Coturnix japonica: one gene and its partners. The protein of the gene in region 1 interacts with the protein of each later gene in a biochemical or structural test. Links are inferred from orthologs where the notes say so. Each region holds a gene or a part of one and is shown in the gene's direction. Other genes may lie near its edges. The genes, in order: KHDRBS1, FNBP4, HCK, YES1, RASA1 and ITK.

The links.
Region 2: the proteins of KHDRBS1 (region 1) and FNBP4 form a complex in vitro, tested with the Homo sapiens proteins (2 studies listed by BioGRID and IntAct, with this or other methods). The link is inferred for Coturnix japonica from reciprocal best matches to the Homo sapiens genes KHDRBS1 and FNBP4.
Region 3: the proteins of KHDRBS1 (region 1) and HCK interact in a biophysical measurement, tested with the Homo sapiens proteins (2 studies listed by BioGRID and IntAct, with this or other methods). The link is inferred for Coturnix japonica from reciprocal best matches to the Homo sapiens genes KHDRBS1 and HCK.
Region 4: of the proteins of KHDRBS1 (region 1) and YES1, one has a biochemical effect on the other in vitro, tested with the Homo sapiens proteins (2 studies listed by BioGRID, with this or other methods). The link is inferred for Coturnix japonica from reciprocal best matches to the Homo sapiens genes KHDRBS1 and YES1.
Region 5: the proteins of KHDRBS1 (region 1) and RASA1 form a complex in vitro, tested with the Homo sapiens proteins (2 studies listed by BioGRID). The link is inferred for Coturnix japonica from reciprocal best matches to the Homo sapiens genes KHDRBS1 and RASA1.
Region 6: the proteins of KHDRBS1 (region 1) and ITK form a complex in vitro, tested with the Homo sapiens proteins (4 studies listed by BioGRID, with this or other methods). The link is inferred for Coturnix japonica from reciprocal best matches to the Homo sapiens genes KHDRBS1 and ITK.

The regions. Positions count from the first base shown.
Region 1 is NC_029538.1:4,470,434-4,473,933, forward strand, and holds part of KHDRBS1 (KH domain-containing, RNA-binding, signal transduction-associated protein 1), read left to right. Parts: intron 1-2,008; coding exon 2,009-2,136; intron 2,137-2,671; coding exon 2,672-2,788; intron 2,789-3,500. UniProt on the Homo sapiens protein: Recruited and tyrosine phosphorylated by several receptor systems, for example the T-cell, leptin and insulin receptors. Once phosphorylated, functions as an adapter protein in signal transduction cascades by binding to SH2 and SH3 domain-containing proteins.
Region 2 is NC_029520.1:547,142-550,372, forward strand, and holds part of FNBP4 (formin-binding protein 4), read left to right. Parts: intron 1-318; coding exon 319-437; intron 438-2,565; coding exon 2,566-2,670; intron 2,671-2,935; coding exon 2,936-3,069; intron 3,070-3,231.
Region 3 is NC_029535.1:8,940,970-8,945,214, reverse strand, and holds the start of HCK (tyrosine-protein kinase HCK), read left to right. Parts: upstream 1-1,445; 5' UTR 1,446-2,231; coding exon of another isoform or gene 2,232-2,321; 5' UTR 2,322-2,476; coding exon 2,477-2,642; intron 2,643-2,781; coding exon 2,782-2,881; intron 2,882-2,965; coding exon 2,966-3,064; intron 3,065-3,214; coding exon 3,215-3,318; intron 3,319-3,628; coding exon 3,629-3,778; intron 3,779-4,035; coding exon 4,036-4,188; intron 4,189-4,245. Other genes in the region: CCM2L (cerebral cavernous malformations 2 protein-like), read left to right, coding at 40-178, 353-630. UniProt on the Homo sapiens protein: Non-receptor tyrosine-protein kinase found in hematopoietic cells that transmits signals from cell surface receptors and plays an important role in the regulation of innate immune responses, including neutrophil, monocyte, macrophage and mast cell functions, phagocytosis, cell survival and proliferation, cell adhesion and migration.
Region 4 is NC_029517.1:91,945,449-91,949,745, forward strand, and holds the start of YES1 (tyrosine-protein kinase Yes), read left to right. Parts: upstream 1-1,497; 5' UTR 1,498-1,634; intron 1,635-4,297. UniProt on the Homo sapiens protein: Non-receptor protein tyrosine kinase that is involved in the regulation of cell growth and survival, apoptosis, cell-cell adhesion, cytoskeleton remodeling, and differentiation.
Region 5 is NC_029547.1:54,365,730-54,369,971, reverse strand, and holds the start of RASA1 (ras GTPase-activating protein 1), read left to right. Parts: upstream 1-1,442; 5' UTR 1,443-1,681; coding exon 1,682-2,070; intron 2,071-4,242. UniProt on the Homo sapiens protein: Inhibitory regulator of the Ras-cyclic AMP pathway. Stimulates the GTPase of normal but not oncogenic Ras p21; this stimulation may be further increased in the presence of NCK1.
Region 6 is NC_029528.1:13,136,375-13,139,874, reverse strand, and holds part of ITK (tyrosine-protein kinase ITK/TSK), read left to right. Parts: intron 1-1,183; coding exon 1,184-1,265; intron 1,266-2,438; coding exon 2,439-2,567; intron 2,568-2,919; coding exon 2,920-2,960; intron 2,961-3,425; coding exon 3,426-3,500. UniProt on the Homo sapiens protein: Tyrosine kinase that plays an essential role in regulation of the adaptive immune response. Regulates the development, function and differentiation of conventional T-cells and nonconventional NKT-cells.

The DNA.
Region 1 (3,500 bases):
CCTGTTTAAAGCTTTGGGGGTTCCTTCTGTGCTGTGAAGGAGACCGTGAGGCCACCTGCACTGACCCACATTGAAAGCCGGAGCGCTCTGCGGGTTGCTTTTTGGGTCAGGGTTTTTTCTTCTCTCTGGTTTTGGGTTTCACTTGCAGAATCGGTGATGCTGGAGCTGAGGCTTTGAGCACAGCTTTAACTGTTTGCTGCTCCCCCAGCCTCATTCCCAGGCGTTGCTGCTGTTGCATCAGGTTTTGCTGTGTGTTGTGGGTGCGATTCTTTGCTTTTCAGAGGCTGAAGTCTGATCACGTTGTTCTGGCAAGGCAGCCTAAGGGCGCTTTCATTATTATGTGTGTAGAAAGTCCTTTTTGTTAATATGCAGAATACTCTTACAAACATTCTCACTGCTTTTGGAGAGCCAAAGTATTGCAGAGAGGATCCCACTGTACTGCAGGATTTAAAGCTGTGCTTACCCAGCGCTGAGCCCAGCAGTGTGCTCTGCTTGTTCCACATCCCGGTTCTCTGATGTGTTCTTACAGCTGCAATGAAAAGGCTGCGTGTGAAGCTGACCCAGGCATCTCCTCGCTCTGTTTTACAGACTTGACAGAGCTCCAGCTGCATTTCTATTCTGTCCTCAGGAGATCATTTCTTTGCAGAGCAAAAATCAACCCATCTTCCTCAAAGCTGATTGTATCCGTCTGTATTGTTTTTTTACTGAGGAGCCATGGTGACACACTTAGGAGTGATCCAAGGAGAAATTAGGCTTTTTTTATGATTGTGCAATGTAATAACTCAATTATGTGCTTAGATCTCTGAATATGTGTGTATGAAGCCCCCATCCTTGGGGCTGCTGGAAGGTGCCAGGTGCCTCCATTCAGGCTGTACAGCCATAACCCGCTGTGCCTGACTGGGTTTGGGGTCTGAGACCGTCACTGGGTGGACAGTGTGCCCAACATCTGATGGTACCCAGCCTTTGAAAGCTGGAAACATGAACGTTTAATGCAAAGCATGGGCAGAAATTGCAGGACAGGTGAGATAGCGCGGCTGCCCTCTGCAGATGCTGGTAACTGAGCAGGCTGCCCTGCAGCTCTGATCCAATTGTGTGTGATCTTGTGAAAGTGGCTCCCTCCCCGCTGAGATGTGGGGAATCGTATTTGAAGCACTTTTGGAATCAGAATTGATATTTATAGCTCCTGGGTTTGCTGGTGAAATGATGTGCTTCAGCTTTAAGGAAGGGTCCTCACTCAGCATCCATTTGGAGGGGGGGCTCTTACTTTGACAGTCAGCATTTGTGGTTATGTTGGTTGAATCAAGCTGGGGCATCTCGATGGCTCATGTGCCCAGGGCTCCCTGCTTCAAGCTGTGAATTGCTGGTGATGAAGGTGCATTCCTGGAGGGAGGACTGTCAGCTCCAGAATCCAGTCTGAACTCCGGGCTGTCACTGACTGAGACTTCTGGTTATTAAGAATGCTGTCAAATAACTGGGATTCACAGTGTTGGCTGATGCCGCTCTGTGACAGATTCAAAATGGTGCATCAGCTTTAAAAAATTACCAAAGATTTGCCTGTTTTGCTGATCAATGCTGCACTGAAGCAGAGGAACTCAGTCCATGTGGTTGGGCTGGGTGCTGTGTGGGTCAGGGCTCTGCCGTGGGAGCTGCACTCACATGGGGGCAAGAGCATGGGGATGGACAGCAGGAGGCACAGCACAAGGGATGCACACAGCTGCTTAACTTTCCTCCCTTGAGCGATGAGGTTATCGTAGGGCATTCCCTGCTGCTCTGGTATCATTCATTGTCCTGCATTTGGCCTTCTGGAATCCTTAGGTGTGAAGGGAAGGAGAGGTGAGCTGGGCCAGCACATAGGCTGTCCTGTCTGTCCAGATCCCATTCATACAAATGAATCTGATCAATGTTCCTGTGTTAACAGAGGATGAGGGTGGTACGTCCTGGTACAATTCCAACGCTAAAATGATGCTTGTTTGAGGAATATAAGCAGCCCTATTTTTATCTTGTTTAGAAATTGAAAAAATTCAGAAGGGTGAAACAACAAAGAAGGATGAGGAAGAGAACTACCTGGATTTATTTTCTCACAAGAATATGAAACTGAAAGAACGAGTTCTGATACCTGTCAAACAGTACCCCAAGGTGAGGGCCAGAAAACAGCTTATGGAATCTCTGTGATTTGCTTGTTTTCTATGGATTTTATGGCTGAATGTTAGAGATAGTGGCTGTCAGTGTGGCAGCAGGAGTTATGCCAGTGTGCCGCTATCACTGTGGAATTTTTCCTGTGCAAGCTTGCAGGATCTTATTTCTAATATATTCCATGTCTTACGTTTCCAGAATGTCTAGGGATAAACTAAATGGTGATGCACAGTTGTGATGTTTCTTTACAAGAATAGACTCTCATGCAGAGCTCTGTGTTTTACAGTTAAGGCCACGTTTAACTCTTAAGACTGCCTGTAAATCTGCTAGAATAGAAGTTAGAATTAAGCTCGTTTTCCGTGAGTTCATTTAGTTTGATTTTCTGGGGGAGCATTTTAATTTGGAATTTAAATTTTCCTTTGTGTTTTTGGCCTAATTATTTTCGGTGTGACTGAATTTGTAATCCAGGTTAACATTGAGAGAAGCTCTCGTTGAGGTTATTGAGTTTTGGAGCTAAATATTTCTTCTTTGTTTACAGTTCAACTTTGTTGGAAAGATTTTGGGACCTCAAGGTAACACCATCAAGAGGCTTCAGGAAGAAACTGGTGCTAAGATCTCTGTGCTCGGGAAGGGTTCGATGCGAGATAAGGCAAAGGTAATGTCCACCCTTTGAAACCATAGTATACATTAATGCCTTTCATTCTGATGTGAAAAGCAGATGTTCCCAAAGCGTTTTATAAACCAGAATTGAAAAGCGAAGGCGGTAGGAATTCACCTTTGTGAAATTGGTCTGTGCTTGTTGGGAGCATTCTCAATTGAGAGAGCAGTGTGATGGATGCTTTCTCCATAAGCAATACTTGCAGAAACCCGTCATCTTTTGATGTACTGTACCTCGGGTGTACAGATAGCTTATATGGAAGGTGATAAACAAGGTCTTTAAAGTAAGAACCAATTCTACCTACTTGTTGAAATGTCATTTGCTGAAGTAATAAGTTTCCCCTTCAGAAAAAACCCACCATTTCCCATTTCCAGCAGTCCCCTCTGAGGTCTGTAAATTCTCATGGTTTACCAGCAGTGCATTGCTGGTGATCTTCAGTGAATCACAAAGAGCCAGGAGGCTTTCAGGGCAGGAAAAAAAATGGATTATTTTTTTATTTGCTTGCTCCTAAAATTGAGCTAACAATCAGTCAGTGGGGCTGTAACTTCCTCCTGCTTTTACTTCAGCAGCCTGAGAAGTTTTTGCACTCCAGTTTATTTATAGCTTCTTAAAACCAGCTGAATAACACAGATATCCAAGAGCAGAATTAGAGCATGAGTGAGATATCAGACTTCGCTTCCACTGTGAAGAACACCTCAGGCAGTAGGGG
Region 2 (3,231 bases), on another chromosome or scaffold:
CTTTTAATACCTGATGCTTCTTTGTAACAAACTATTAACCTGCAGGAGTTCAACGATTGGTCGCTTGGCTGCTGGCGCTCAGCATTTCCTCTCTGTTCCTCATCCTTGTGTTGTGGCAGCTGCCATTCACTGAGTCCCGTGTGTTCTTTCTAGAAGGATAACGACCATCTGACATACAGGGGCTGCAGCCCTCTCTGCTTTTAAATTTCAGGCTTTTCTCATAGGAAACAGGCCCCTGGCTTTGGCTCCTCAGTGTGATACGAGGCGTGTGGACAGCACTGTGGCTGACAGGCTCACCTCTTGTTTTTTCTCCTGCAGCTGTGAGCACAGAAGCAGCTGATGGGCCTTCAGACAAAGAGGCAGAGTCTGAGGAGCCCCAGGAGAAAGTCAAAGCACAAGTGGCACCAAAAATAGAAGAGGAGGAGCAGGACCTAAAGGTATGGAACTATACAGACGTGTGATGTGTTCCATTGTGCGGCAGGGACGGCAGCAGGTCCTGGGGTCCTGAAGGGGACAGTGGGGCCAGCTCACCCTGTGGCAGAGCAGCTGTGCAGGATCAGGCCAGCATCTCTGTAGCCTCATGCCCTGTCTCCAGCAGGAGCCAGCAGCAGAGGCTTCAAAGGAGCTTTTTCAAAAGAGAAAAGGAGGATAGAGGCAGAATGAATGATTCGCACTCTTGCCACGAGAGAGAACAAAGACTTTTGCCTTAAGTTCTTGCTGTAATGGTCTTGCAGTGTTCTCTCTCACACACCCCATCAGTTTCTAGGCCCAAGACTCCTTGTCCATAAGCAATCTGTGTCCAGATGCTGCTAGTGCTGGTCTTCCTGCTCCATGCTTAGCTTTATTTTATGAAGCAGCGATGGGCTGCTGGATGCAAACAGGTGATTCCCACACCATTGCTCTGGTACATTCTTTTCTGAGGTTCAGTCCATTTTTCTAAGCAGCCAAACAATTCCCAGCACCCCTTGCTGGACGTGTTTAAGAAATGTAGGCTTGTGGCACTGAGGGACGTGGCTAATGGGCTCCATGGGCATGGGTTGACATTGGACTTGATCTTTCAGAGGTCTTATCCAACCTTAGTGATTCTTTGATTCCTGAGCCGTAATGCGTGCACACAGAGCTTCAGGCTCTGCTGATGGCTATGCAGGAGGACAGGGGGCATCTCCCTATTTGTCCTTTGCAACCTGTCCCCTTCATTCCTCAGTCGCTTGCTACTGAGATCTGCTTCATTAGCAGGTTGCATCCCTCCCTTTGCCAGACAGTTTGTGGACGAGGAGTCTCTGGCTTGCAGTAGAACCCCCCAGGAAATGTTCTGCTGAGAAAACTCACGTGTAACCTTGCCCTTATTTCCCCTAATTTTAATCATTTTTACAGCGTGAAAGGGCTTTATCATCCTTGTGCCACATTTAACCTCTGTCAAAAAAAACTCTTAGCAGGGTTTTGAGGTGTGATGTGACGTTCTGTGCACAAAACCTCCTCCAGCGTGTAGCACAGATGGGCACAAGGCTTTTGTGGGTTTCTAATTTATGATAAAAAAAACACAACAGAGCCTGTGGCGAGGATTGTTCTCATTGGCTGCTGCATCCCAGCCAGCTGCTGGTAGCCTGTTAAAGTGTCACATTTGCTGTCACCTTTTCTTCTGGTGCTGGAGGTGCTCTGTGTGATGGACTGTGTGCCGTAGCGTGGTGATTTCACGTGCAGGATCCCTTTAGCGCTGTTGGAGGAATGCCGGCTCCTTGGGTAACTTGCTCCGTTCGCTTCGTCGGTTCGGGGTCATCCTCTTCAGCCTGGTTTGTAGGAGATCCTGCGCTGCGGAGCCGTCCCCTCATTTGAGACCTTCCTGCCTTCTTCATAGGGACTGCAGTGCGGGAATTTGTTTCCCTGCCTCGGGCTCCTCTAGCATGGCTCATCAGCCCGGTCCTGTTGTTGGCTTTGGGAACTTTCCAAGGTCTCTTCTGCAGAACCATAGAAAATGGAATGGTTTCAGAGTCCTTCTCCAAGCAATTGTGATGTCCCCCTGCAGGCATCTCTGCTGCTCTCTGTTGCTTCCCAGCTCACCCCTTGCCTTCAGATTGCTCCCCCGGGGCACGTCCCCTCATAGAGCTCCCGTGGGGTGCTGGAGTTGAGTTGTGCTTACCGTGGGCTGGATTGTAATGCAGATGCTGCCTCAGCTCAGGAGTAAATCTGGAGCTGGTGCCTTTCTCGGCACTGTCTGGAAAGCAGTGATTTGCAAAGGCTAAAAGATGGATCCTGTCCCATTTCCTTTGGGAAGCACTTGAAGTATTTGATGATGTAGCGATCTGCGTTTGCTCTGCTGTGACGCCAGGCCCTTTGGCTGATTTGGAGCCAGGAGCTGCAGCTAGTAGTAGGGAATGGTCCCCAGGAAGCAGCAGAGGCTGCGGGAGGGAGTGGGCTGGGCAGAGGGAGCGACCAGCACAGGAGCAGGGCATGCATCCTCACCGCAGGACTGCAGTGGGACCCCAGGGACATTCCGGAGTGGGCATGGCAGCCCGGCGACAGTGCCCAAGCGCAGCTGCTGACTCTTCCCCCCTTTCTCCCCGGCAGTTTCAGATCGGAGAGCTGGCAAACACTCTGACTAGTAAACTGGAGTTCCTGGGCATCAACAGACAATCTGTCTCCAACTTCCACATGTTGCTGTTGCAGACAGAGGTAACCGAGCCTTCGCCCCTCGTTCCGGCCTTCCATCTCCAAGCGGATCCCGCTGTGCGCGCGCTGCGTGAAGCTCGTGGCTCCAGCACCGCAGGGCCCATCCTCGGTGGGGCGCGAGCATGGCTTTGCGCAGAGGCGGGCTCCTCCTCCCAGCCCCTCGAGTCCTGTGCCATAAGGGAGCCTCTCCCAGACCTTGAGTCCCGTCCCTGGGACTGCCGGCAGCTCCTCCCCTCAACGGCTTCCCCCCGGTTCTTGCCCCCTCTAGACCCGCATTGCAGACTGGCGAGAAGGTGCTCTCAATGGAAACTACCTCAAACGCAAACTCCAAGATGCAGCCGAACAGCTAAAACAATACGAAATAAACGCCACCCCTAAAGGCTGGTCCTGCCACTGGGACAGGTACGCCCTCTCCTACCTTTCTCACCTTTCATCTCTGACATCTCAGACATGATTTGTGACCATCACCACCTGACGACGCGGCGCCGTCCCTCTCGGAGACTCCGTTAGCAGTGCTGGGCAGGCAGAGCGACTTGCGGCACTTACAGAGTTTGAGCCGGCCGC
Region 3 (4,245 bases), on another chromosome or scaffold:
CACCACCCCCAGCCCTGACCCATCCCTGTTTCCCCCCAGCTGCGCAACAAGTTGTCACCCCAGGAGATCCAGCAGTTTGCCCTGATGCTCCGTGAGTACCGGCTGGGCACACCAGTGCAGGAGTACTGTGCAGAGCTCCTACGCCTCTATGGGGACCGGAGGAAATTCCTCCTGCTGGGTGAGTGCCCCAAGGGTCGGAGTGGCTCTGACCAATGGGTCTGTCACTGTGCTACACCATCCATGTGTCCTTGGGGATGGGATGAGGGTGTGCACTGAGGGGTTGGTGGGACTCCATTGCACACAGATGGGGTTGGTGCAGTCACGCCATGAAACCTCATGGCATCTGTCGCAGGGATGAGGCCCTTCATCCCCGATCAAGACATTGGGTACTTTGAGACCTTCCTGGAGAGCATCGGTATCCGCGAGGGCGGCATCCTCACCGACAGCTTCGGCCGCATCAAGCGCAGCATGAGCAACACGTCGGCCTCAGCTGTGCGCAGCTACGACAGCTGGTCCCTGCGCTCTGAGTCCGAGTCCTTCAACCGCATGATCACCAACATCACACACGACATCGAGGCACTGGCACGGGATGAGGAAGAGGAGGAGGAGGAGGAGGACAACTACCTGTGAGGGAGGCACAGGTCACCATGGAAGGGACCAGGGCTCTGCTCTTGGCTGGGCTGATGGCATTTCAGGGCTGTGTTGGATCAGAGCAGCCCCCCACCAGCAGTGCTGAGTGCTGTAATTTTTGTAGCTTGCAATTAAATGTGTAAGATGGGGGTTGAAGCAGGTTCTTCCCCCATGCAAAGGGCATGTGTTGGGCAGGGGGTGAGCTGTGGCACAGGGGCAGTTCACGGATGGGATACCCACCCACCCACCCCAGTGCTGTGCCAAGCAGGCATGGGATGGGGTTCTCAGTGCAAAGTGGGGTCAGCACAGCTGTGCTGGGATGGGGGGGGCCTGGATGCACTGCAGTGATGCACCTGCCTTCCTACAGGATGGGGAGTGGTGGGGATGGCTGATCCTGGGCTGAGCAGCCCCAAGCAGGGGGCAGCACCTGTGCAGGCTGTGAGGGCTGCCCACAGCGAGTTATTTCCCTAAAAATGATGTATGTAAATCCTTATGCAAGTGAGGCACTCGGGTTTTCTCTTTACTCCTCCTGGGGGCACAGAACTGGGTGGTGACAGTGCTCTGGCCTCATCCTTCATCCCGTCCGTGCTGCACTCATCCTGCAGTGGGTGAGGGATGGCTGTACGGCTACCGGGACCGGGATGGGACAGGGAGTGTCGTACCGGGGGGGGCGGGGCCGCAACCATACCGGGTGGGGCGGGGCCACACCGGGACGGGGTGCAGAATCCACCGAGCTCAATGCGGTGGCAGCAGCAGTGGATTTGGCTTTGTGACAGGGACGGGGACCAGGACCCGTGACAGCAGCCAAGGTGAGAGAAGAGCCCTGAGGGCAGCGGGGTCAGGTGGGAATCAGAGCCCCTGGTAAAGGGCTGCCCTACACTGTCCCTGCCTGAGACAGCAGTGCCGCTGCAGAGCTGCCCTGTGCTGGGTCTGGCCCCTGTCCTGTCCCTGCTAGGTGTGGTGGCATCAGGATGGGGACCAAAGCCTGGGGATGGCAGGAGGGCAATGCCATTGAAGTTGATCCTGGGGTGCTGGGAGGGAGGAGGTGGTGATGTGGTGTCCCATCCTGTCCCCACGCTTGGACTCTGACACAAGAGCTGCAGAACATGTGGTGTGCCAGGGGATACTCATTGCTACCAGGTCACTGCATGGAACAGTGCCCCAAGACTTGGGGAGCTGGTGACTGTGAGGTGCTCAGCTACATCTGCTCTGTGCTGGAGAGCACAGTGGGCAAAGGTTCTGGAGTGAGGGTGGCACAGCTGGGAGGTGGCAGCAATGGTTTCTCGAAGGCTGTGGGACCGGGGTGGTGCTGTGCATGTCCCCCACAGGACCGCAGCCCTTTGCTTCCTCCTTTGCTGCACCCTTCTCCTTTCCCCATCAGACAGAGGGAAGTGCCTTTTGGGGGCTTCCCTGTACAATTGCTGCAGTTCTTACTGACCTTCCTTTGGGGGAGAGTCTGACTTTTGCTTTTATGGAGCCTGATCTGTTGGTGTGAACAGGGCTGTGGGCACCTGACTGTGCTGGAGTGGGAGCTGTGGGTGTGGGGCTTTTGGTGCTGTTGCAACGGCCCCACTTCTCCCCCCCTGACACACACACACAGGATGGGTTGCGTTAAGTCAAAGGAAGATAGCGTCCAAGAGAAGATGCAGTTAGGCCATGAAAAGAAGGACCCCACGTCTGGCAGCAAGCAAGTAAGTAGGAGATACGGTGTCCTGGGGGGCACAGGGGGCATGGAGCAACCTGGGTGGCAGCAGACACAGGGCTGGGGTGGGCAATGAGGTGAGAGTGAAGGGTCTGTCCCAGCCCACATTGATGAGAATAAAGGAATGTGGGCAGTCAGGGAGAAATGAAGGTGTTGAGGAAGGAGACGCTGCCAGTGCAAGGTGAGCTGGAGCTGGACAAGTGTCCAAGACCCCCCCAGGTCCCACTGTGTACCACCATGACACTCCCCTGTTTGTCATTCCATTTGCAGCATGATGAACACAGAGTGCCTGAGCCCCCACCGGCGGATGGTGCGTACACACAATGATGGGGAGGGGAGCACAGTGGGGTCCTCATTGGGAACAAACCCAATGGGGTGGGGGCTCTGTGCTTCCTGGTGGCAGAGACCCAGGGACCCTGGCAAGCACCCAGGAGCCAATCTTACTGCAGGCTCAGGTGACACCGTGGTGCTGGCACTATATGACTACGAGGCGATGCACTCTGGGGACCTGAGCTTCCAGAAAGGAGAGCGGCTGCAGGTCCTGGAGCAGTACGTGTCCCCTGCCCCACCTGTCCCTATGGCTCATGGTGCTGGCAGTGCCCTGTGCTGACCCATGGCCATCTGTGTCCTCAGGTCGGGAGAGTGGTGGCGGGCACGGTCACTGGTGACAGGGCTTAAGGGCTTCATCCCCAGCAACTTCGTCGCCCGAGCTAACTCACTGGAGGCAGAAGAGTGAGCATCCCACACACTCCCATTGCAGTCATCTCCAGTCATACCCCATGTTCCCATCAGGCCAGGATTAATGTCCTCAGCCCCAGCCTGTGCCAGCCTTGGCTTCCTGGCTCCTAGCAGCAGTTGTTGCTTGCTCTGTTCCTGCTGCAGGTGGTTCTTCAAGGATATCAGCCGGAAGGATGCAGAGCGGCAGCTGCTCGGCCCTGGGAACACATTGGGATCTTTCATGATTCGGGACAGTGAGACAACCAAAGGTACCAAGGGCTGAGGCGGCCCCAGAAGGGCCTCCCTTCTGTACACCTGAGAGAGACTCAATGCACCCTGAGGGCTTTGCTTTGCTGCCAGGCAGGGGCTGGGGCCCATCCTCCTGCTGCTGTAAGAGCATCCCTGTAAGAGCCCATGATGCTGCCCTGAGCCCCATGAGGAGATGGGATGTGCCCCCATGGGGCTGCCATTGCTGCCTGGGTCTGTGCTGGGGCCAGGCAGGGTTGATGCCATGCTGGTGGCTCAACCAGGAGCTGAGGGGATGCTGTCCCATGACACAGCTCGTCCATCCCTGAACAGGTTGCTATTCCTTATCTGTGCGGGATGGGGACAGCCTGCAGGGAGGCAGCATCAAGCACTACAGGATCCGGACACTGGATAGTGGTGGCTTCTACATCTCCTCACGCAGCAGCTTCGACACCCTGCAGGAGCTGGTGGAGCACTACAAGGGTGAGCTCTGGTACATTGCTCCTATTGAGACTGTGGCCACTCGGTGTCTCCCCCACCGTTACTGGCAAGGGTGTTGGTGGCAACAGATACTCATAGGGCCTGGGAAATGCCTGTCCCCATGCTTGTGCCCTGGCTGTGCTGTGCTGCACGGCAATGCTCAGCTGTGCTATGCTGCAGTAATGGTTATCTACACAAACTGATGCCCTACAGCCACAGAGCATGGAGCCTGGCTGACTGCGCTTGCTGCTCTCTGGCAGGGCAGAGCGATGGGCTGTGCCAGAGGCTCACCTACCCCTGCAGTGTGCCCAAACCACAGAAACCCTGGGAAAAAGATGCCTGGGAGATTCCTCGGGAGTCATTGAAGCTGGAGAAGAAGCTGGGAGCTGGGCAGTTTGGAGAAGTGTGGATGGGTGAGAGTGAGGGTGGTGAAGAAGGAAGGGTGAGGGATGGGAGAGGTGGTGGAAGGA
Region 4 (4,297 bases), on another chromosome or scaffold:
TTGCCCATGTACAGGAAAGGAAAACACAAGCAATAGTGGAGGTCAGCCATATAAGCTTGGAGAACTGCTGCAAGCCCTGACTGTGCTGGGAAGCAGTGACCAGACCTAGAGCTCTGACTGCTCCTTGGTTAAATAATTCATCACCCAGAGCAATTTGTAAGACTCGTTGTTGATTTCTAAATTAAAAATCAATTCCGCAATAATGTGATTTAGGCTCCTAACAGGACAGGAAAATGATAAACTCCACCACTCTAACAGGGTTACATGAGTATTATTTATGGTAAGGAGCATCACAACCTGAAACACTTTTGTGTTATTATTTTATATTATTTTTTATATATAAAACTGTTAACTGCCTAGTGTATTTATGGTCTTGTAAAAGCAAATACTTGTATTTGACTTCAGCTAAAAGACAAATGGTTTTACTCTCCATCATTGCCTAGAAATGGAACCTCCTGCTTGATTGTTTTAAAGAGTAAGTGTACATTGTATTAGATTCTCATTATGGACCAATACAATTATCAGTCAGCCTTCACACCAAATAAAGGTGCAAGAGACATAAATCTAGCTATTAATGAGCTGAAAACTAAGCTAATCCTGAATGACAGCCACCAATCTGACTGTGTAAACTTTAATAATCTGGGTTCCTCGGGGTGTTTTTCTCTCAGTCCTTCCTGTAGTCACTCAGTATCATTAAGGCTAGAACAGAACACTAAGAACATCTAACCGTGACCCCATCCCCACCATGCCCACTAACCATGTCACTCAATGCCACCTTTACACATTTCTCAACCATCTCCAGGCACAGTGACTCCACCACCTCCCTGGACAGCCTGTTCCAATGCCTCACCACTGTTTCGGAGCAGAAAAATTTCCTACTATGCAACCTCAGATGCCCAAGGCCAGGTGATTCAGCCTGGATATTTTGATTAACTGGCCTGACTTCTGAAAGATGGCCTCAGAAGACACTTGAAGAGCCTTTATCTTGAAGTCCATCGTGACACAAACCCAACTTTCCTTTTTCAAACACCCGACGCTGACCTCTGCCACTGAGACCAGCGGGATGTCCCTGTCTGACTCAAACCTATAACACACACCAAGCCTGCGTGGTTATAATTTCTCCACGCCTTTCCCACGGCAGGCAGAAGAGCTTAGAGCTGAAGCCACACACCTGAACGGCGTCAAGCAGGGGGAAGGCAGCCCGAAGGCCGCCCCGATGTGGAGCTGCCCCTCATCTCGCGGCCGCCACCATGTTGTCTCGGTGCGCGGCGCCGCCGAGGAGGGGTCCGCCCGGCTCCTCCCCGCGGCCTCTGATCGGGCGGGGAGCTTCGCCAAGCCTCACCCGGGCGCCCGCGGGCAGCGGAGAGAGGCGGGGAGCGGTGGAGGAGGGGCCGGAGGTGCCCGCCGGAGAGCCCGGCCGTAGGGGCGGGGAGTCTCCTCCTCCCGCCGCCAGGCTCCGGCTCCTCGCACGCACCGGAGCGCCCGGCTCCCTCCTCCTGCTCCTTTTCCCTCCTCCCTTCCCCTCCTCCCCCCCTTCCCTCCCCGGGTCGCCGCGGCTCCGGGAGGAGCGGGGGGGGCCCCGCTTCCTTTCCTCTCCCCCTCCTTCTCCCACCCGCGCCGGCGAGGACGGGCAGGTGAGCACCCGGCCGCGGCCCCGTCCCCCCCCCGCCCCGCGGGAGAGGCGGCCGCGATGGCGGCGGCGGCGGCGGCGCCCGGCTGAGCGCTAGGCCCCGGCCGCCCGCGCCCGCCCTCGGCCTCTCCCCGCGGGGCCGCCCGCTTCGCCCCCACCCCGGGGAGGGGACCTCGGTCCCTTCGCACAAAGTTTCTCGGCAACTTTCTGCCCGCCCCCGGCCTCTCCCCGCGGGGGGCTCGGCCATGGCCGCTCCGGCTCCGGGCGCTGCTGGAACAGCGCAGGAAACGCGTTCCCCCTTCGGCTCTCGCTCGGCCGTATGTGTGTCGTTATGTGCTGTTTTTTTCGCTCGGTTCTCGGCTCTGTATCGCTCCACCTAGCAGCAAGGCGACTGCTTTAAATTTCTGAGTCATTAATTTAAATATGCCATCATAACACTTCGTCAATCCCCCTCGTGTTCCTGGCGGTTTAGGTGGGGAGGGGAGGGAAGGAAAGTCCCATTCCTGTAGTGCTACTTTCTTTCTCCGTGTGAAGTTATGTGCAGGAGAACGGCTGGCGCATTATTTTTTTCCCCTCTCTCTTACATGGCATTAAGTACGTTGGTTTATTGCATGTGTTTCAAGATGGGACCTTCCAGACGTCTGATGTGGCACGTATGTGCCACTTTGTATCGGGAATAACTGGGGTGTAAATGTATCTGATCCTCTCAGAGGCTGAGGAGGTTTCTCCAGGCCTACCTGCTGCATTTAAGCCAAGACAGAGGGTAGCATTAGTTACAAACAGATATTTGAATGTACCAAAATGGGCAGGATGGTCCCCAAGTGGTTTAGAACATAGAGCGTGTAGCCAAGGGAAGTGTGTTGTATTTCTCTTCATAGTTCATAGACAACTGAATGAAATTTCAGGCAAGTTTTGCAAGCAAAGTTGACCTTTAGTCAAGGAAATGAGATACAAAAGTTTACTTTGGAGCCTTCTCTTTCATTTTTGAAAGGTATAACTGGGAAGAGGGGTTTACCATTAAGTTGTGTTGTCAGTTACGTTTGCAGTGTGTGAAGTACAACATTGCCATAATTCAGTGTTACTGCAGATTTGATAGAAGAGTAAGAATTGTTCCTTTCCAGCTGACAAAACAGAATACAGAATCATAGGGTTGGAAGGGACCTCTGAAAATCATTGGGCCCAACCCCCTGCTAAAGCAGGTTCCCTATAGTAGGTCGAGCAGGAAAGCCTCACACTCGCGCCTGTTTTTCCAATGCATGTTTGTGAATTTAGCTCTAGGATGTTCCTACTGAACATGCGCATGGATCTGGGTGCTCTGTACAGCCGGGGCTTGAGGGTTAATCTCAGAATAAGGTACCCGTTGTGTGATGAACAGAGGGAGCAGTGCTGAGAGGGTCTGTGCTGGATTTCAGAGGACAAAAAAACACGATACTGAACGTGAGACTGTGGCTATGGTTGGTAGCATTGCTTCCCTATGATTATTTTATTCCACAGGTTTTGTTAGCTTTATTTCCTCAGGAAGAGCAGCTCAAGTGCAACCACAACATCTGCGTGCCTGTCGCTCCCTCTTGTATGTAAGTCTTCCAGCTGTCAGCCAATCTCAAACACATTTGGCAGCAGAGGTCTCCCAGGTTGGAATATTTCTATGGAATTCTATTGGAATTAAGGAAGGTAGGTAGGAAAGAGCTTTTAACCCGCACGCCACAGAGTTCACATAATCATTTCTCTTAAGCTGGAAACCGATGCAGGAAATCAGACTTCCCTGGTTTTGCCTGCTCTCAGGGCTACTTGTGCAGTTATTAAAAACTCTTAATTTTTGGACCTTGGTATTGCTATTTGGAATGAAAGTGAGCCCTAGATTAGCTTTGATCTGTATTTCATAATATGAAGAGGGTTTTTGATTGATTGATTTGTTTCTAATGTATCCAGGGAACTGTTAGGTAGTAAATGAAACAATGGAATGATATTAGAAGTGTATCGGGATTGCCAGTTTGTTTGAAATAGAGAAATATCATAAAATCATACTTAATCTTTGCTGCTGTGTTCGCTGATAAATGCCTGTTGTCACATGACAGGGATGTGCACATCCGTGTTGGTTCATGTGGCCAAAGTTTGCTTTAGGAACATGTGAGCTGCACAGTTTTACTTTCCTGTGTGCTCCGCCCATGGACAAAAGCGATATGTTTTCAGCAGATAATTCCTCATGTTCAGACCTTTAGTTAAAAGAAACACATTCTTTCATCTTTATCCGCTATGCGGATCAAGCTGTTTTCCTTCCTTCTTTGAACACAGTTTGAGTAAGCTACCTTTATGTTAATTTTAAAACTGATGTCAGTATTAGCACAAATAATACTTCCAGAACTTATTGTGCTGTGTCATATTTAACAACCTTCTGTGAACGGGACACCTTCCATGCATAGTCAGGCTTCTGAGAAGCACTTCTGAAAGGTGTTGTGCTTCTAGCACCGAAGTCCTCTATTAGTTGACAGAATAGACTCAGTGCTGAGAGAGAAATGTGGCTTCTGAAACTAAAAAATAGGGCTTAATTTTTGACCTGGAGGACCAACCTTGGGCTGTGAGAAGATAGCTCATTCTCTGTATTTATTGTGGTTTTGTTCTTAGAATCAGAGAATCATAGAATTACCCAGGTTGGAAAAGACCTCAAAG
Region 5 (4,242 bases), on another chromosome or scaffold:
GAAAGTCTTAAAAAAGAGGAAATGCAAGTGACCCGGGGCAGATGACTTTGCTGGCAAAGTAGAAAGAAGCAGCGTGTCAGGGGCAGGGGTGAAACAACTCGGCCAGTCTCACAAGAAATTACCTTTCTGTGGAACCCTTGCCACACTTAGAACTGCTCTACCCAGATTAAATCTATTGGAGGAGTGCTGCAGGAAATTCAGAGCACAGATGCCCTGGTCTCCATGCTTATATGCGCATGCTGTTGCCCCTTTAAGTCAGTTAAAAAAGCGTGTTTCGTCGAAGCAATCATAAATATTTACACTGCAGCTCTATGTTTAGGAATATCATTTTAACAACAAGACTGTGCTGAAATCCTTTTATTTAAAAACCCGTAGGAGAAAGCAAACAGCATTAAACAGAAGCCCACGGAGCCAGTGGGCTGCAAGACAACGTGGAATTACATATCCGATTGAAATATGGCAACGTGGAAACCAAGCCCGTAAGAGATGGCTGTTGAGACTGTAATTTCTTTACCAGCACAGCAGGGCATGAACGCGCTGCCATTCTGTGAGCCCAGGGACGCAGACAGCGTCTGCTCTGACACCGGGCACGAGCCCAGCAGAGTCCCACGGGTACTCGCAGCGCTGCAGGACCTGGAATGGGATCCTGCCTTCAGAAGGCAAGATAGGAAGGTTCGTTTCGGCAGATAAAAGGAGGTTTGTCTGCAGGGCGGTGGAAGCGCGAGTAGGAGTTTGTTTTAGTGGCCTGGGGAGAAATTCACTTAATTCTTTTGGTAACACAAGGCTTTGAAAACCTGAATGTTTAGATGCCTCCTGAGAACTTTGGAGAGGCGTGCAAGTGTCAACGTGCTGCTATTTGTCAGCTCTTTTATTATGGGGGGGGAGGGAAAAAAAGAAGAAGAAGAAAAAAAGAAGATAATGAGAGAAGTATCAGCACGGTAACGGAGTAACCGGCAATGGAGTACGGGCGGCAGTGCGGTCACACAGCGGCTGCAGGCGATGCGCTGTTCTCCTCCCGCAGCACACGGCGGTGCAGCTATAACGGGGACACACAAAGCACGGGCTCAGCACGCCCCGATCGCGCCGTCCCTTCCCGCCGTGCCCCCGCGCCACCTGCCGCCTCTCCTGGCTTTTACTCCCCATACTTTCTTCTATTTTCCCTCCCAAAGGCAGCTCAGCCTCAGGGCGCACCATGGCCGCCCCTTGGCCGCACACCATGGCGGCTCGGGCCGCTCCTACCCCGCACTTTCCTCCCCCACGCGGTGCGGCCGCTCCCCCTCCTGCCCCGCCCAGCTCCACGCACGCGCTCATAGGGACGAGGCTGGGGAGCGGCGCACATGCGCGGCCCGTCCCACCGCCTCCGTCCTTCCCCCCTCCCGGCTGGCGGGCGCACGGGGGCGGGCACAGCGCGGGGCGGCCGAGCCGCTCCCCTGGCGGCCGGCGGGGCCGAGGCAGCCGCGCCGGGGCCCTGCGGAGCCGCCGTGAGCGCGCAGCCCCCGCCCAGCCGGGTATTGTTCGCGGCCCGTCTCCGCCGGGACAGTTTTGCCCTCGTCCCGGCTCCGCTCCCCGCCGGGGCGGGGTGGGCCGGGGCCCCTTTGTCGCCACCTCCCCGGCGTGCGGCGGCGGCGGCGGCTGCGGGCGGGAGGGCGAGCGGCGGACGGGAGGGGGGGCGAGGCTCAACATGATGGCGGCCGAGGCCGGAGCTGAGGACGGCGGTTCGGTTACCTCGGCCGGGACGGCGGCCGCCGCCGAGCCGGGGCACTGCCGAGGCAAAGCACCGGGGCCGCAGGGCCCCTTCGCGCCCGGCTCCAGCTCCGGCTCCGGCGGGGACAGCCCGGGCGCCGGCCCGGCTCTGTGCTCGGCGCTCGGGCTGCTGGCGCTCGGCTCCACGGGAGCCCCGCCACCGCCCAGCGAGCCGGGCTCCGCCGCCTTCCCCCCGCTGCCGCCGCCGCCGCCGCCCCTACCCCCGGCCGGAGGGCTGGCGGCCGTGGACGAGGGCGACTCGCTGGACGGGCCGGAGTACGAGGAGGAGGAGGTGGCCATCCCGCTGAACGCGCCCCCCACCAACCAGTAAGTACCGCGGCCCCCCACCCCCCTCGGTTCCGCTCCCGGAGCGCAGGAAGAGCGCGGCTCCGCGCAGCGCCGCGTGTCCGTGCGGCGGGGGGAGGCCCGGGCGGCTCCCGGACAGACTGGGACTGCGGCGCTAACTTTGTAACAGGCGGAGACCTCCCCGCTGTACAAAGCGCTGCTCTCCTCGTGTCATCCCTTTGCATTCCGTTGTTTATACCTTAAAAAAAAGCAACAAGAACAGCACAAAGAACACCCCAGCCTTTTTGTTATTTCATACAGGAATATCACGAAGGTTGCACGCACGTGTTTGCCTTCGTGGAGTAGGGAGGGTGAGGTTTGCTCACTCTGGAACGCGGGTTGGAAATGAGTAGAATTCTTCTTCTACTTTAAAATAGTGGGCGGGCTGTGCTTACAGAATAGCGCCTGACTTTGCTGCTCAGCCAGTTTAAAGCGAGGCTGATGTTGGTTTGTCTGTATGGAGGCAGGAGGCAGAGGTGAAAATCCTGCAAACCTCCTGTTGGATTTCATTCTGTTATCTCTGTTTTAAGGTGAATGGATGTCCTGTGGTGCTGGTAACAGAATTTCGCACTCTGAGCAGAGCAGTTCTCAATTTATATTGTGTGAAAAATGTAGGATCAGATAATGCTGTGTGTAGTTTGTGTAATTAATGAGCACTCCATGCACAACCTTTGGGCTGAAGCATAGGAAGTCTGCAGGTTTGTGTGTAGCACCTCAAGCCCCGTTTCAGTACAGAAAACAGTTCTCTGGGAGGGTGCCTGGCTATTTAAAAAATGGAGTTGCTTCAGAAGCTCTATTGGTTGCACCAAGTAGTGTCTAGAAATGTGTTGTTCCTGAAGTTTCCTGAGGATAGTAGATAATGTAAGGTTTCAAGGTACTGAAACAGTTGGGCTAGATGTTCATAGCGGGCTTTTCCAACCTTAAGGAGTCTGATTGTGTGAAACCATGAGGGTTGGTAGATAGTTTCAAGGCGTGGATCAGAAGGACGACCTGAAAGCCCATCTGAGTTTGGGTTCTTTGTTACATTCTTTCCCAGTACCACTCTTAAGAGACTTCTGCACCATTCGTGTATTTCCATGATTTCAGGAATCATTAAAGTCATCAGGAGGACATAAAAATGTACCGATATGAATCCCTTTTAAATTCATGTCTCTCGCTTTGACAGTCTTCCCTGTAATCTCCTGATTTCTTGACTTTCTGTAGAAGTTTGCTAACTTAAGGCAGTGTTTGAACAGTGTTTGACTGGCGTCACTAATGAGCTGGAAATATGATCAGGCAGTTCTGACAAAGGATCAGGAGGGAAATAGAGGCACACGAATGTGAAATTACTTCTTCAGGGTTGTCAAATCACTGGAGCACACAATTCTGTACTTCTGGTTTTCTCTCTGAAAATAGATCAGACTGCTTTTTCCATTAGATCCAGTTATGTTAGTCAGAGAGAGAGAGTCCTTTTTGGAAGTATCTTTAGGAAATGGGGTGACAGATTGTAAATGACCACCTGTTCGGTCCTAAATATGCAATATGGACATATGCTAATAGGAGTGGGATTTGCTGTCAGAGCATTGTCCTGTGACTGAAGTGCTGGAGTGATGTCTGTCTTTAAGTGCTTTGACAAGTGTGTGCTGAGGGGAAGGCTGTGCAGGCCCTAATTTGCTCTGGTTAACAGTACCTTATTCAGACAAAAGGGAGACAGGAGTCTTTGCAGAACCAGGGCATAACTGTGAGCTGAGCTTTCTTCATAAAAGAGAATCCTTCACAACAAATCAAGTATTGTGGAAAATGTACACGTACCTCCCTACTCTGTGTTCTTAACAGCTTTTCCTTTGCCACATAACCCTCGGAGTGTGACTTTTCAATAAAAAATTGATTGAATAGAACCGTGTTTCTCTCTCATTCAGCTCCTTTATGGTGTCAGTTTTCATCGTTCTTATTTAAGTCATTCAGATTGGCCATATGCTGATAGTAAATCGCATCCTCTCAGTCCTGCTGTTTTATTTTGGAAGGGCCCTTTCTTTGTAGATGTACCATCTGCTTCTATGGAATTAAACTCCTGATTTATTATCAAAACAAAGATCAATATTATCTATAATCTTATACAGGGAAAGGTTTGCTATAATTCTTTAGGAATAATGATTGAATTTATAGTTAAGATTA
Region 6 (3,500 bases), on another chromosome or scaffold:
CTTTCTTCCCTTCCCACATTACAATGCAGCTTTCCTGGTTAAGCATGGATGGGAGAAGGAACAAATGTTGACAAACAATGACACAAGAATGTCTTAAAATGAGTGGGAATTATTGCCCCCCTTTTTTTTTTTTTTTTTCTTAAACAGAGGTTATGATTTATCTCTCTATAGCCTACAAAGCAACTGAATCACATAGCTGTCTGTGTGTGCCTGCAGGGGCATCAGGCCAAGAGATAGCAAATGCTTCCTATCATTTGAACGGTTATTAACGTTGCCTCATCTACACTGCTTTAAGCTCTGAAAAAAACAGATGCTGTCTTTAAACAGAAAACTCTGTTTAAAGATATTGGTTGAAGCTTTTTCAAAGTGATTGTGCATCAAAGAGATCGGGTCTCATTTGGGTATAAATTCTTGGATAAATATTGGAAAAGAAACATAGATTATGTGTTACATCACATTTTAGGCCCAAACGTAGTCATCTGATTAAGTTTCTGAGTCATTTTTGTTCCTGTGATGATTTCACTCCTGAGTCTGAAACTTCACGAATGTTCTGTATTTCTCTTCTGTCATTTGTTCATCACTAAGGGCACGTTTATGAAACCAGCATCCTGAATGCTCATTGCTCATCTGCTCTAGTTTCTTATTTCCCCACCATAACCCTAGTGAAAGCTATCAAAAACTCTAGAGTGATAGTAGTACAGTGAATCCCGGGGGCATTGCTTGGAATTCATATTGACCAGAAAAGATAAATTTGGCTCTTATATTTTAAGTGAAGGTGATTTAAGAGAAAGAGCTGAGAAACTTAAGTAATTTTCTCGTAGGTGCTTCAGAAGAACAGGCTATAGCCAGCATGCAGTGGGCTGGCTTCTGTGCAGACTGAAGTTGTAATGTTTCCATTGGTTTAACTGTCATTTCAACAAAAAATTGATTTAAAATAAAATTGCTCATCTAAAATTCTTTCTTGATTGAGTTTTGTACTCAGTTTTAGATAAGTAAAAGGCACTGAGGTTATGGGATACCTCTGAACAGGCGCTATATACTCCACTTGTACACAGCATTGTTTTTCAGGGATTTACGTACTTGATATGGGGGTTACTGCCTGTTTCTTTCCATGGTTCCACCATGCCCAGTACACCCAGGATTGTTTCTAATGGCTGGTTCCCATCTTTATTCCCATCTACAGATTGTCCATGATAACTACATCCTCTACGTGTTCGCACCCAATCGTGAGAGCCGGCAGAGATGGGTCTTTACACTGAAGGAAGGTAACAGAACCCCTAAGCCTACTTAATTGTTGAAGTTTCTTATCCCAGGTCATTTTTCTCCACAGCTAAAATGCCAAGAAAACATACAAGAGAAGTTGTTTTCTTACATCTAACCAAGCAAAGTGGTCACTGAGAACGCAGCTATGGAGTCAAATACATTTGCAGATGTTGTGGGTGTGTTTTCAAAAGCTTTAGAAAACTTCGGCATATAACACTTAATATTTTCTGGGTAGAAGATTTCTCATCACTGATTAATAGCTACTTTGTTTAGATGACAACCTTCTGAGAGAATCATGATTATTAAGAAACATTTCTGTGGGTAGCTTTCATTTCCTGTTCGCTTCTTGAATTGTTCTGTGGTTCATTACAATGATTCTGAAGTGAAGGTACAATAACTAACCGCTGGGTGCAGAAGGAAAAGGTTGTTTAGTTACATGAAAATTGCACCCTTATTCCCTCATAGCTTTCTCCTCCTTTGTAGCGTGAGCTGATGTTTAGTTCACTTTGAAAACATTGAGCCTGTTTGTGTTATTATTAAGCTTAGTCTTACAGTCAGTTATTCCCCTTTGAGGGTGTACCTGTTCCAAGTTTTTGTTTTATCGCCTCCTCTAGTTCAGCATGTTGAGACAATCTGAGTGATCAACAACAATTTTATTTGACTTGACCAAGTAGAAACAGGCCAGGATCATTTTTTTCTCCTTTTTTTCTTTATTCTTTTCAAGAGAATTATTATGGCAAATAGTTTCAAACAGAAGGACCTTTGATTGCTCATACAGAGATTCACAGCTGGCATCTACATGTGCAAAAATATTTAGAGCTGGTGAATCCCAACTGGTCCATCTCCCTCTGAACACTGAGCCAAAGCAGCAGAGTCTGTGTCCTACGTTTATACATCCTGCAGAGATGCAGTTTGCTATGAGAATCATCAGTACCTGGTGTACCAGGTTTTCTTTCTGTTTTTGAATTGTTCTTTCTGTGGTTTTGGTGTTTAACAGTTTGAAGAGAGAAATAGAGGAGGCTAATAATATTCACGAAGAATAATGGTTCGAAAAAGAAAATAAGGTCCTTACGTGCAGATTATTTCTGTTCAGTTCTATGTGCCTTTCAGAGATTATGTCAGTACAAACAAATCCACTTTTTCCTCCTTTTTTCTCTTACTCTAACTCTTTCCAGAAACCAGGAGCAACAACAGTTTGGTCTCAAAGTACCATCCAGATTTCTGGATAGATGGCAAGTGGAGATGCTGTGCTCAGACAGAGAAGATGGCAGTTGGCTGTTTAGAGTATGACCCCACCAAAACCGGTATGAGTTTTCGTTAAGAGAATCTTGACCCTGAAAGTATTTATTCCTAGAAAAAAGTAAAAGATTCAATCTATTTTGTCCTTCCCATATTTCCTCTGTAGTATAAACATCAAAGTAATGCTGGCAGATAGGGAAGTCAATCATTTTACACTGAAGACTTTTCCCCCCCTTGTATTTCTGCGATTCCCTATACAATCTGCACATCAGTTTCAAACCCGTGTTATGTTGCTGAGAGTCCCCGTGCAGGTGCAGCTGTTGGTGCATCTTACTCTAAACAACCAAGGCTTGCTGTTCTATTTCTGTAGGGTTTGTCTATATCTGATTCAAATTAGCTTTCTTGATTTCATTTCAGCCTCAAAGAAGCCTCTTCCTCCCACTCCTGAAGATAACTGGGTGAGTGCATCAAGGCATACAATGCTGTCCTTAGTAAAGCAGCTTTCCAAACCCACTTGTGGGTGGAAAAAGTCACAGTAAGAAGTGAGGAGCTGTGAGGTTGTTATGTCCATCTAAGAAGAGCAAGGAGATTTTATCACTGGCATCTTTTAATGGTAGTTTAGGAAACAACTGTGAAAATCAGATCAGAAAGGATTGATTCTGCCCGATGCCTTAAAGAAGAACTAGACAACTGTTTTCTGTGCATGTGGAATTATGTATGAAAACCATTGCTTGATAATGCTTAAAATGCCACGTTGCCAGTGTAACTTCACAAGCTCCTGGGGTGCTCTCCTCGCCTTGAGGTACTGAGCCCAGCAGGCTGTACAGAGCACACCAGTGTTGTCAGGGGAATATCATTTCAGAGAGCATGCCATTGATATTTATAAACATGAATATGATGAGCCTTTTTCCTAATTGGTATAGAAATCGTTGCTAAACACAAAGGAAACCTTAGTCATGGCCATATATGACTATGAAGCCCAGAATCCGCAGGAGCTG